2 linked regions of the Schizosaccharomyces pombe genome follow. The gene in region 2 interacts genetically with the main gene of each other region. Each region holds a gene or a part of one and is shown on either strand. Other genes may lie near its edges.

The links. Genes that interact genetically often act in the same process or in processes that back each other up.
Region 1: mutations in SPOM_SPAC12B10.01C (region 2) and SPOM_SPAC8E11.06 together harm fitness more than expected from each alone (negative genetic interaction), as found in Schizosaccharomyces pombe (one large-scale study listed by BioGRID).

The regions. Positions count from the first base shown.
Region 1 is NC_003424.3:3,375,918-3,382,052, forward strand, and holds SPOM_SPAC8E11.06 (uncharacterized protein), read right to left. Parts: upstream 2,178-6,135; coding exon 2,152-2,177; exon of another isoform or gene 2,105-2,151; coding exon 2,087-2,104; exon of another isoform or gene 2,042-2,086; coding exon 1,984-2,041; downstream 1-1,983. Other genes in the region: tubulin-specific chaperone cofactor A Alp31, read left to right, coding at 1,231-1,299, 1,363-1,449, 1,602-1,805; SPOM_SPAC8E11.05C (uncharacterized protein), read left to right, coding at 2,355-3,371; SPOM_SPAC8E11.04C (palmitoyl-(protein) hydrolase), read left to right, coding at 4,839-4,911, 4,983-5,067, 5,179-5,226, 5,282-5,427, 5,542-5,864.
Region 2 is NC_003424.3:4,571,701-4,579,803, reverse strand, and holds the start of SPOM_SPAC12B10.01C (ubiquitin-protein ligase E3), read left to right. Parts: upstream 1-4,160; 5' UTR 4,161-4,362; coding exon 4,363-8,103. Other genes in the region: bun62 (WD repeat-containing protein), read right to left, coding at 1-1,177; acetylase Sdg1, read left to right, coding at 2,869-3,576. UniProt on the Schizosaccharomyces pombe protein: E3 ubiquitin-protein ligase which accepts ubiquitin from an E2 ubiquitin-conjugating enzyme in the form of a thioester and then directly transfers the ubiquitin to targeted substrates.

The DNA of each region.
Region 1 (6,135 bases), 1.2 Mb from region 2:
TTTTTTATATCAGCTTGTAAACAAACGTTTCAGGAAATGAGAAAGTTCAAAAAGCGTTAAACAGTGAATGCTTGTATGTTGAGCTTTGACTTGTTTGCAAATGTTTAATTGTCGAAATTCATCATCTGTATCTGTCCAAAGTTGTGAACTGACAAGATAGAGATTAATTTGTTAGATCACGCAAAGTACGATATGTTTAAAATGCTTATACCAGGTTGCAGTCTTTGTTTTTCATAGCTTTGCAAAAAAAAAAGTGGATTAAAATACTAATGACTACTAGGGTTCGAAAGGTTGCTGTTCGATTATGAAAAAGCGTTCACTCTTTTATCTCCCAAGCGATGATTTGAATTTTTGATGCATCTGTGGCGTAGAATATGATCAATCATTTTAGAAAACAGAATAATATTCAAGGATCCATTTAAAGTCCTATATAGAGTAAAGGATTTTAGCTATTATCCTCACATTGAAGACTGGTCCCATTATACCGAAGTCTGTTGACATTAATATCGTTGTACCGGCTTTTTGAGTAGACTAAATATCTTGTACAGGATCTACTTTGAAAGAGGGTATTAGGTCCTTTTTTTATTTTTTGTTTTCCAAGGATTAAGATAGAAGCTGAATTTTTTTGGCTAGGCAAAGTTGACTAATTATTAACAGACTGTGGTTCGAGTGATTAGCAATCAACCTATCCTTATATGAAATCGTGCTTTTAACAATTTCGGTTGTTGGGAGATAACTGTGTGTACGGAGAATCAGAAATTTTTGTTTTGGAAAATATTTGTAAAAGCAATTACGTCTAAATATAATGAATTACGCGCTAGAAAATTTTCATATAGCTGAATCCCGAAAAGCTCAACCTCCCATATGATTGAGCATCCATAAAAGCATGAAATTTTTGGTACAAGTATCGGTGAATCGTAAATTTAGAAATAACTGAGCAATTTTATCTCATACATAATATAGGAATGAAACGTTTGTCGATCAATAACTAGTCTGATACTTGATGCAAACATTTAATCAAATACCCTTTTTTAGGAATTTAAGGAAAGGGCTTTAAAAGAAATTGAAAACTTAACTAGAACTAGCTTTTCTTAATCGTTTCTCGTAACTTATCACCACACGCTAACATTAGCATTCCTTTGTATTCCAACGTTACCTACACTGCAGTCAAGGAAAATCATCCAACCTAACATTATTCCTTTGCATATCGCGTCCATTTTATTTTCTACCATGTCAAATACTGTTAGGAGCTTAGTCATCAAAACTAATGTCGTTAAAAGAATTATTAAAGATGTAGAAGTAAGTTTCCTTTTTGGATCGCGATTTTGTAGATGGAATTTTCTGACCTCAACAATTGTTTAGTTGGCTCATATCGATATTAACGAGGCCGAGAAACGTGTACAAAGTAAAATTGATAATGGGGAAGATTCTGCAGAAATTGAGCATCAGGTATGTTGCATTAGTTGAAACCATATAAACGTTGGACGTGTTGTGCTAGAAGATGTTTCTACCAAGCTGAAGATACTTTTCGGTGGTTTCCGCTTTAGCGTATCTTTTTTAAAATAAAAAATAATCAAAGTACTGACATTCTGGACCTCTAGAAATTTGTTTTGAAGAAGCATCTTGAGGCGTTGCCAGATGCTCTTGTACGTCTTCGTAATGCGACGAACGACTTGGAATCCATTTCTTCTGACAGTGCATACGAAGGAACTCCTGAACTTGAACAAGCAAATGAATATTTAGAAAAAGCAAAAGAAGTAATTGAAAAAGAGCAAACGAATTTCCCCACGAATGGGTACCACTGAATACACATTTACTAGCTTTTGTAGATCCCTGCTAAAATTTATTACTGACCCTTCAAAAGACGATCATGAAAAGGTTCTACGTTCATCATTCTTTACCCACCCTTTCAATGCTATCCTACTCAACTGTACTGTGTCTTCGATTTTTATTCCAATCCATTAAAATAATAGACAATCCCAACTACTTAAGGATTATCCAAGTCATGCTTAAATCTTTTTTAAGATTTCGCCAATCTATTCTAATTTTGCCAGTTAGGTGAAACTGTTCACATAAAAAAACATACGTATTCCCCTTTATTCTACTAGAGATTTAAATTTTAGCTGGACAATCAAACAATTTTAAAACAACCAAATGTTCCTGCTAACAAGCAGCATAGACAGTCGTCCTCTAGTATTTATTTGCACTTTTATTGTGAGTGTAATGTAGCGTATCACTATGTTAGATTGTACAGCTCATTGTTTGACGTTACTTACCATCTGAGCAAAGAGAAAGAAACACTTCGCGTGAACATTAAACAGATTGGGAGCATAAAACGTTCCATTTGTATACCTATGGCAAGTCCGCCAATATTATCAAGGGAATCACCTGTGTTGGGTTTAGAAGAAGAGAAGAAATCTGACGGCGGCAACTCTGAAGTAAATATTGACCCTTCTGCATCTTCATCGTTGAAGGAAGATGTAGATGGCGAAGAGGGAGCTGATACAAAAATAGATCCACACCTTCTTGAAGAAGATGATTTAAATCCTGTAGAGGATTACGATTCTAAAAACCAAAAAGTCGTTGAAGCATCTAAACTTGACCTTGACGCTACATCAACTGTTTGGGCGGAGAGTCTTAGTATTAATAGAGAAGCTAGTATTTCCCAATCAGGCATTGTAGACAATGAAATGGAGAAAAAAGTTGAAGAGGAAGAAGAGTTTGACGAATTTGACGATTTTGGTGAATTTGAACATGATATCCCCATCTGTACATTTATGGGTGATTGGCAAGATGATTTCCAAGATGCTGTCAATTCTGTATTTGGACTACCTGAAACTCCGAAAACAATTGAAGAATCCTCCTTGGATCCGGATCGTATATTGTCTCTTTGGCAAAAACTGATTGAAATGCCCGTGCTGCAACGGCCAGATTGGCTGAGGTCTAGCATCAGGCATATTTTTTTAGTTACTATGGGTCTTCCTGTTGATTTGGATGAACTTTTGCCTACTCCTTCTACCCAGGGATCATTCAATTCTTCACGCACAATAGAATTGTCTTCCGTGACGTTGCCAAAATCTGAGGATGAACCATATTTAGATTATTCAGCTGCTCGTCGTTTATGCAGCATAAACAAAGACGCATTAACCCACCGATCTCATGAGTCTTTACAACAGCATATAGAGTTACTAGAATCAACTCTGCAGCAAGCTGTTGAAGTTGCTCGATATTGGACCGATAAAAGGGATTCAGCTCTTAGCGATAAGTTGTTATATGAGACGGTTGTCGATGATTTAGTTCAACATAGCAAACGTTTAAGAAACTCTGGTCGTAAATTCCTTTCTAGAAGGAGCACTTCCTCTCATAAATGATCCCTTTATATCTTTAATTACCGACCTCTTTTCCTGAATTGCTGTTTTCTTGTTTAATTTTACGGGAGTAAAATAAAACGGAAGCGTTTTATTTTTGTTGCTGACGAACCTTTGTTACGTCTAACGTGATTAGATTTGACTTGTGATTCAGCTGTATTGTCTTCTTCGATTCTTTTGCCTCTTCTCTTCTTTTTAATGACTAATATTTTAATGACTCTTCTCTATGTGTTTATCAATATTATGTCAACCACTTGTAAATATAAATGGAACAGTATCCTAACCTAAGCGCCATTCTTGGTTATTTACATAATAGTCCATAATTATCTCTAAAGAAAAGGAGCAAATTTTGATTCACTGTTGGTACTTAAGTTATTCATCGTTAAAAAAACATTAAGAACATTTGTCGACACATTTCTGGCAAATTGATAACAACTTGAATGAACTGTTAAAATTATAAGCAGGAAGTTGAAATTTTATTTTTATTTATACTTATTCGTTAGACTTGCATTTGGAATGCTTTGGATTTACTAGTACCCTTATTCTCTTACAACCTGGACGTTCCTAGTAATATCAAACAATTAATTGACTTATGGAATTAGATGGCTTATCGACTAAAAAAAGCTAAGGCATTTCTTGACTAAAAACGCAAGGAAAGGACTATAAAAATTTGATTGTTACTACAGGTAAATCGAGAACCATCGTATATAGGAGCTGCAAAATTTTGTATATTATTGGTATGTTTGTCAGACGCTAAATGATTCTTACTTGATGGATAGTTTAACCTTTTTTTTTTGAGATTTACATGCAATTCATCTATTGCCTAAATTCACCAGCCATTATTTTGACAAATGCATTAAACTATTTAAGTATAGCGATTGCTTTTATAAAAGGATTTTGGTGCAGTACTAGGAATATGAATACGCGATTGATATTGAGTAATGTTCTGGCACAAGCGTTTTCAGCTGACAGATTTAAGCAGTCTGTTTTATAACTATTCTCAAGTAATACTTTCCCATTGAAAATAAAAAGTTATTTTTGTAATGTGGTTGGATTGTATAGTACGACTCTGCGGTTGAAGAAATGCAGAAAGCATCTTTGGCTAGCAATATAAATAACAAAAAAAAAAAAAAATTAGTCAAGCTAATTTTGTGTTTTATAAACAAAAAAAAAAAACCTTTGGAACAAAATTCTTAGTATACAAATTGCGATAACGTATTGTAATAGCCAGCACTCAATTTGGATTCTTAGTTTCAAGATATACATATATCGCTTGGATTAACGCTAACACCATTTTTTACGATTATTTTTCGCCTGCAAAAGAAAAAATCATAAGGGAAATATTATATATTTACACCATACCTTCGCTTTTGATTCAATTAGCTTTGATACAAATACCTGTCTTATAAAACTGGTGTTTGCCCTATTGCAACACCTCCATTCCCTTAGTACTTTTTAAAACGTTTCATTATGACTGCCAAACTCAATTCAGTAATAATTAATCCCAGCGTGGCGCATACGGCCACTGTGATTTTCCTTCATGGTATGAACGATGATAATGTTGAGACAAACATATCGTATATTTTCTTCATAATAGTAACACATTTATCTTAGGTTTAGGAGATAGTGGACAAGGATGGTCTTTTATGGCAAATACGTGGTCGAATTTTAAGCATATTAAGTGGATCTTTCCCAATGCGTAAGTAAAAGAATGTATTTAATCATGCAATTGTCTAAAGTAATGTGTGATGAATGAATGAGAATTCGCATTACATACTTTGTATTTTGATGCTAATTATTTTGTATATAGTCCATCTATCCCTGTTACCGTCAACAATGGCATGAAAATGCCAGCATGGTAAGTAATTGTTCTGCTTGATGATAAAGTACAATGTTCGCTAAAACTTTTTTAGGTATGATATCTACAGTTTTGCGGATATGAAGAGGGAGGACGAGAATGGGATACTACGTTCAGCAGGCCAATTGCATGAATTGATTGATGCAGAACTTGCTTTGGGGATTCCTAGTGATCGCATATTAATTGGCGGATTTTCACAAGGTATGAGCTGCCATGAAAGCGGTTAACTCGCTAGTCATTGCATTTTCAAAAAAAAAGTGAAATGGTTTTCACTTTTCAAAAGTATATTGCTTACTAACTCGTCATTTTCTCTAGGTTGTATGGTTTCCCTTTACGCTGGACTTACCTATCCCAAACGTTTAGCAGGAATTATGGGGCATTCAGGGTTCTTACCTTTGGCTTCAAAATTTCCATCCGCTCTCTCTCGAGTTGCTAAAGAGATACCCATTCTTTTGACTTATATGACCGAAGATCCTATTGTTCCCTCTGTCTTGTCGAGTGCTTCAGCTAAATACCTCATCAACAATCTACAGTTAAAATGTCTCGATCGACCTTTTGAGGGAGACGCCCACTCTCTCTCTTCAGAATCGTTTATGGCTATGTATAAATTTACTCAGACAGTTATTGGTTCACCATAAGTATTGTGTTTTTGGTGTTGAGACTTTGCAAATGAAGGAAATTGACGAGTCTTTTGCACTTTTAGAGTTACTCATAAAATTAAATAAGATTTACCGTGATTAACTTTTCCCTTTTTTAGAAAGCAGTTTCATACTAGTAACTTAAGACTATGAATTGTCATCCCATTTGGTAGGTTCTCTCCAACAGTTTTACTCATTTATGGCATTTTAAGGATTGAAGCATTTTGTTTTGAGTATAGATACTATGGAGTTTAGTTTTCATTTTTAGTAG
Region 2 (8,103 bases):
AGGAGTATATTGAAACCAGATCATCTTTACCTCCTATAGCGATAAATTTACCATCTGGAGACCAGGTGACACAGGTTAACCCAGCAAAGTAACTATGAAAAACATCAAGGACGTGTTCCTTCACAAAATCAAAAAGCTTCAATGTTCCTCTCTCAGAGACGAGTGCCAGGTATTGATAATCGGGACTGAAACAAAAGCCGTTAATCGGTGATTTTGAAAATGCATAGCAAGCAACCGGATTGAGTTTACGGTCATCTCGGTGATTAATACTTATGAGAATATTAAAGGTTCCTGGAGAACTAAGATATAAAGATTTTAGGTTTTTTTCCGGTACCACAATATGGAGTGGTTGCTCGTGACGATATTTGTCATAAAGCACAAGCCAACCATTGCGAAAAGATACCAAAAATTGAGAATCTTTGCCAGCAACCCACTTTATAGCGGTAACAGAGGAGCTATTCAGCTGTCCATTTTTGTTAAAGCGTAAATACTTGAAATTAATAGGATCATACCAAAGTACGTCGCCTGTATCAAACCCAATTATTACGTCCAAGCCCTTGGGACTTTTAGTAAAGGAATTTATATCATGGCAAACAGGTGATGCCCTTGGAAATTCCATTTTGAGTAAGGCAGAATGGGAATTAGCAGCACTCACATCAAGCCAATAAAACGATTTTTCGTGATTAGCAAACACAAAGGTTTTACCATGAATAGAAGGCTGAAAAGAACGTACTATGTTGTCATGAAATGTAAGGGAGGAGATAAAGGATTTAGCATTGATTAAAGGAGCACCAGCACGAGAGGCCGGTCTGTGAAGCTTCAAATAAGGAGTGTTAGAGGAAGAAAAGTTGTGGGACTTTCGTTTACTATTGCGATAATTTTCAAGAATTGAGGGGACATCTCTATTCTCTTCAACATGATGAACGCCATGAATTTTCTTAAGTTCTTCAATATATTCTCGTGGATAGGGGTAATCCCAACGGGAGAATTGAGCAATATTTATCCGCATAAAGAACAGACGTTTTACAGGCGTGTTTGGATCTAAAGGTGAACCGGTAATTTGAGGAGTAGAACGTGATGAACTGCCTAATTGAAATTCATCCTTCAAAACATATTCTCCCTCGCGAGCAGTTAAAAACAGAACCGGACGGGCAATTCCAGAAGACATCGTTTGCATAATATAGTTAGGTAAAGGATAAGAAGTGAAAGTTCTGCTGAAACAATCCAAATGGTAACGACCTCAAGTACTGAGAAGTTTCTATTCAATGAAGTCGTAAAAGACAATTAAGAAATGTATTTAAATTAGTGAATCTAGTAAGAAGAGCGATTTTTAAGCTACTGCTTTCTCTTTTATTAATCAATGAGAATTAAAATAGGAGTATACGAAATCGCATTCGAACAAATTAATTTATAATTAAAACTTATGCAGAAGACTGAATTTCCTGCAAAATCGTAAAATGTTCTTAACCGACTAGCTCGACCGTACAGTTTGTTGAAATCTTCTAAAGGAGTAGCGTGTCACTTATAATATGAAAGCGACATAAATAACGCTAATTAAAGAACAAACCCAATTTACGTTAATAAAAGGGTATGTGTTTCATTTTAACATTTATTGAAGCTGCTTGAGGTAAATATTTCAATACACTATTCTTTGCAATATTTGGATCAATCACATTTTTTAAAACTCATTAAATAGTTCAAATAAAGAACTCTTTAAACTTGCGTTAAAATATAGCAGATACATACTGCATTGCTTTGAAACAAAACTTTATTAGCACTTTGCACGATTATATTGTATCCCGTTAACCATCACTATATACTACGTGTCAGGAATTATTTACGTTTCTGTCCCCTTGGGTACTCTTCATTGCTTTTTTATATTCAAAAGCTATTTAAGAATAAGGATAATGCAATGGAACTTCTTTCTTTAGTATAGTTTTTAAGTTATTCGTAAAGTGTAATACTATTTAGTATCTATAATTCTTAATATAACCAAATCATTGGCAAATTAACTGTGTAAAATAATTTTGATCACTCAAAAAACTTATCGTTGTGTTATAGCTTTATAATGTTATGAGCTAGTTAGTAAGGCCCTATTATACAAGAATTTCGAAAACGGTGAAATTTGCAATATTTGTAACTTGCAAGAAGTGAAAATTCAGCATTTATACGTTTTGTGAGTGTAGTATATTTTCACTCTTGGTCAAAATAGGCACGCTGAAAGTAGTGTAATCTATGAAGCTTTAATTTATATAGTGAAAAATACTGTAAATGGATTTCCTATCCTTGGTTTTCGGATTCATGTAAAGTTTGTTATGCAATCTAATCGATGCATTATTACCTTCCCTATTTCTCTACTCAATTGCCATTTTTTTTAAATGTATATTCTGTTCCTATGTATACATTATACTCTTTTTATCCTAGGAATTATTTAAAGATTTAATATTCAAGCCTAAAAAAATTGTAGAAACTAATTATTTAGTAACTGAAGATATAGCTTATAAATCCAATTGTTATTTCAGCTAGAAATGTTACTTCGATCGTCACAATATTCTTTTCTATTCCTAAAAACATTTTAAAAGCTAGTTGACCCTAAATGTGATTTATCAATAGAATCAATAATCTCAATCATTTAATAAGAGGGTAGATTTGATCAAATTCTAGTTGTATGAAATTACAATTCGCAAAAATTGACTGAAACAACCAAGGGTTGGGTAAATCTATGGTGGTATAATGGCTTCATTCTTACCTACTCCACTTACGAACCTCCATCTTCTTAAATTTCACAGTAGAAGGTAATTGTAAAAGAAATATTGTGACAATAAATTTTAAAAAGATTAGCAAAAAAGAATATTTAATTACATAAAAATGTCGAATGTGCAACGTAAAAGAATTGATATTCGTCGTCCCACCCTTGCGGAGCTGTCGAGTATTCGATCGATTGCCATGAATGCGTTGAACGGTCAATCGAGAAATCTCTCTCAAAAAATCTTTTGGCACCCGTTGTATCTTGCGGTTTTTGGTTTGGTGTTTATGGGGATATATCGCTTAACAAACATGGTAGAAGGAAATACAAAATTACGAACTTTTGTTTTATTAATATTGGTTAGCGCTGTCTTTTTGACGTTGATTGAATTTCCCTGTAGAAATGTGTATGCAAAGATTAGCACTGAAGACAATCAACCTGACGGCTGCTTGGCTGAAGAGAATCTTAAACATTTTTATATGGCCCGCATTGACAAAGAACGAGTTATTGGTATTATAGGTATCTTGCCTGCAAATGCTCCTGGTGCATACCAAAACACACCAACTATTGTCCACTGGACTGTCATTCCTAAATTTTATCAGTATGCGTTTGATCTCCTAGATTCAGCACTTCGTGAGGCGAAGGAGATGGGTGCTGACGTGGTCTCAGCACGAGTTTATTCAACCGACCCAATGTTGAAGGCTTTTGAAAGAAAAGACTTTACTCCTGTAGTTGATGAAGCTTTCGATTATCTATCGTTTTTCGGATTGCGCCGTTTAGTGCTTCAAAAGAATTTGAGCGAACAACCTGGTTTTGAAAATAGAAGATAGATTATTTAACTTTCCGCAAATATTACCCTTTCGTGCATGTAATTGCGCAGCTACAACTTGTTTTTCGCTGTATGTTCATATTTTAAATCTTTTTGTTTTGTGTTTATTTTTTTCGTGAAATAGTTACGAAAGAATTTCACGACGTTCAAGTAAATTTCTACCTAGGGCAAAAACTAGACCCACCGTGTTGTTGAATAATTGTTAAAAGTTTTAGAAACTATTTCATTACGTCCGCTCCATGTTCAAGAGTTCGTACCCGCTAGACTGTACAAAACAATTTGAATGTAAACTTAATATTATATAACTGATGTATGTTAGTGAATACTAAGTGAGCATCTCATTTCACTATCGTCAATTATGCTTGTAAAAACACAATCGATCGACTACAAAAGTACGTTTAACGAGTGTGAATCAAAGCTGAATCAATAAATAAAATACAGCATCTTGCAAATAAAAAACAAATTTAAAAATATTTAATGACAGTAAAAGACAGAAAAAAACAATAGTACTTAGAGTAATAACGTATTACTATAACACATACTACGGCAACATAATGGTGCGCCCTTGTTGTCGACGCTTTTGCCATCTCCCTATGTCAACAGCACATTCCGCCTTAAACAAGAGATCATAGAAGGATCAAATTAAAACTGGGATTTTGTCTCCTTGGTTCAGAAATTACTTGATTGTTTTGTTGGATTGTAATTAACAATCACTCCAATCGCTCGCCGAAAGGCTTCCAAATTTTGTTTATTAAATTAGCCTTTCTGAGCGACATTTTGTTATTTCATGTCTGTTCAAGCGTATACGAATACTCCGAATTTACCGAATTTAATACATAGTGAATCTATAACCAACTCACCTGTGTTTATACCAAACCTACGAAGTAAGTCCGACAACAAACATAGATTAAACACTTCTGAAGAATTGCCATTTACAAAGAAACGCAGAGCAACTAAACATTTTTTAAAAATGGAGGTATCTGCCAAAATTTCTGAACCACCTTCTAGTAAAAGTGTGGAATTTGGAAGGCATTTAAATATGCGGCATGATTTTTCCGAATTGCTTGAACAACCACTTACAACGAGCAAAACTAGGGTCTTTAAATCCTTTAATGAAAAGCTCAAAGGTAAACCCCAGTTAGTGAAATCCGATAAAGGTGTGTTGCCTCTTAATAAGCAATCGGATATACTGAATTCTTATGAACGCGTTTTAAGCAATGCTTCGGTTGATTCTGCATTAGACAAAAAGGCGGAAGTTGATATCATTCCATTTGATAAATCAGTTATGGAACCAAAGAACATAACTTTTAATGACAAAAGTGGCTTAACCAAGTTTGGGAATTCAAACTCTTATGAAACTACGTATTCTGACTCCAGCAACTATCATACTTCTACTGATTCGTCCCAATATAATGACCAAGATGACCACGTCTATGATGATACTAATGATGGAACTGATGATGATATAAATAATAACGAGTACAAAGACGATGAATCCAGTAGTGGCAGTGAAAGTTATGAAAGAGATGAAGATGTTGATGAAGAGGAGGAAGAAGACGATGATGAAAACAATGATGAGGGAGACGATGAAGATGAAAATGAAAATGACGAGTTAAGAAGCGAAAACGGTTCACCTAATCCTTCAGCCGCTGTTATTAATGAACAAGAAAACATGAACATGAGTGGAATCGAAGAATACGATGAAACTAACTTGTTAAATGAACTGGGAAGAATCAGAAGAGGTAATCAGTTTCAAAGTTTAGCGTCTTCTATACTTTCTTCCGGTAATTTGGAGAACTCTGATGACGAAGATGTTTCTTTAGGTCCACAGACATACCGTTTCAATAGTTCCTTTCATCCTTTTCGTTCTGCATTTTCTGCTCCAGGTGTTCAATTTGGACGCTTGTTAGAAGGAATAAAGGATTTTAGTGATCCTACTGTTCAAATGCTTTCTCTTCAAGAACTTTCCGAAGCGTTTGCTATGAGTACTGAAGATATGCTTGTTGGATTGTTTTCAACCGATTCATACATTGCGGCTTTTTCCGAAATCTTATCTGGGCGAAATTATGATTTCGGAGAAGTCTCTATTCAACTTATGCTATCCTGTACTACCTGTGTATCTAATATGATGGAAGCTTTGCCTTTATGTATGGCTAAAATAGCATATAGTCCTATTGTTCGCATTCTGTGTGAAAGAATGTTTGATATGCAATACATTGATATTGCTGAACAAGCTTTAGGAGTTTTAGAACGGCTTTCTAAAGATTTTGGTATTTGTATTTTGGAACACAGAGGAATGTTAGCTGCTCTCCAATACTTTGATTTTTTTTATACTACAGTTCAACGGACAGCTATTTCTCTGGCTGCTAATTGCTGTAAGTTTTTGGATGAATCCAATGCTTCCGCAGCAGAAGAAATTATTCCATTGCTTTCTAATATTCTACAATCTTCTGATACCATAGTCGTTAGTAAGGCATATTCTTGCCTGGAGACAATTATTGAATCTTTGAAAACTTCACCAAACATAATTGAAACGATAATTTCCGAGGATTTGATCACCACTATTGTCAATGCTTTGACTAATTCTACCTCACAAAATAAGTCAATGCACTTACAAGTGCAGCTATTACATATAATATCATCTTTGTGTCAGTCATCTTCTGCTTTGATTTTACCTTTTCTTAACCATAATTTGCCGGATGTGATGTACGAAATGCTGTGTGGAATACCACCTTCTGATACATCCCATCAGGCTGATATGATTACAATGCAAAGTTTGTATTATTGTCCGATCGAGTTAATAGAAAACTTGTTAAGAGCTATAACTTCTTTGCTTCCTAAAAACACTAGTAACTTGTCTGATGAATTTAACACGAAACTATATCGATTAAACAGTATACTCTTAACTGTTGTAATGGACATTTATTTTATTGTGCCCCTTCATGATATCCGATCGTTAGCTGTGACTACGGCATTGAAAATGTTATGTTCAATTAGGGAAAATAATTTAGATGGCTTAGTTTGTTCTCTTCCTTTATCATCATTCATTGCTTCAATTTTAAATTCACGCAAATCTGACAATTTCTTGAAGCGAGATGCTTTAGAAATGTGTCTATTTTTGCTTGAAGCACTTCCTAATGTTTATTCTTCGTTATTTATACGAGAAGGCGTTGTACAGGAGGTTGGATTTTTAGTTCGCTCTACCAATGCAGACATGAAGAAAATAAAGTTAAGTATTTCCTTTTCACAAAACAAATCTGCTGCTCGTCATGAGGAGTTGAAGAATTTATCGACGTTAAAGAGCCTTGCCAAGGAGTTTCTCTCTAATTATAAGGAAGAAAATTTAGAAAACTCAACATTAGTTCAACTTAAACAATTGTCTAAACATTTATTAAGTGAGACCAAACAAGACGAATCTTTTTCAGAACTAGCCAAAATATTTCAAGAAGGATCTAATATTACTAGTCATGAATTACTTCATTCTGGATTAATTCATAATTTGCTTTTATCACTCAAAAAATTTGGAAGTTCATCTCTTCGAACATTTTTGTTAGCTATGAATACATGTGATGAACGCGAAGTTTTAGAATTTGGTAATGGTCCCTTAGTTTCACTTATCTTTTGTTTGCAAAATCTACTTTCAACTGTTGAGAATTTTCAACTTTCAACGTTACCCCCAGATACTGAGAATGCGGTAGATCATGTTTTTTCGCGGCAGTTTAAACTTCGTTTAATGGCTCTTCCGGGATCAAGAATTCGACCACCTTTCCGATCTCTTGTCGTTTCTATTAATGGGCTAGCTACTATTCGTACACTTGATAATTATCTTCACAGTCGCATTTCTGTGCGTAATGAAACTGGACGTCGTTTTTCAATCCTCCGCGAGGCCGGTTCTTTGAGGGAGTCAATGAGTGGATCATCTCGTAACTCTTCAGGAGACTATACTGACTCAATGTCTCAAGATGCTCCTAATCACACAACAGAGCCATCAGAGCGACGTGACTCCTCGACATCATCACATTTCGAGGAACATTTTGTATTCAGTTTGATGGGTAAAAAGGTACCCCGAAACAAAACAATATTCAGAATTTTATATGAGTATATACAGTTGTCTGACGATCATACTCTCGATGATTTTTGGAAAACTCCTGTCCCAATATTTTATGGTGAGCCTGATTGCATTCACAATGATATGAAAGGGGAGTTAAACTATGAGAATGAAACAGAGGGATTTTCTATAAATATTAGAGAAATATTGGATTTATTGAGTATTTTGTATTATGGGATTAGAGACGTTCATACCCTCTTTCCTGACAAACATTTCCGTGGCAACATTGAAAACATTCTTACAGATTTTAGCAACTGGAAGTTGAGTGCCAAATTGAATAGACAACTTGAAGAGCAACAACTTGTTGTTCACGGTTGTTTACCCTCCTGGTGTATATCACTAACCTCTGCATATCCATTCCTAGTACCGTTTGAAACTCGATATCTTTTATTGCAATCTACTGCTTTTGGTTTATCAAGA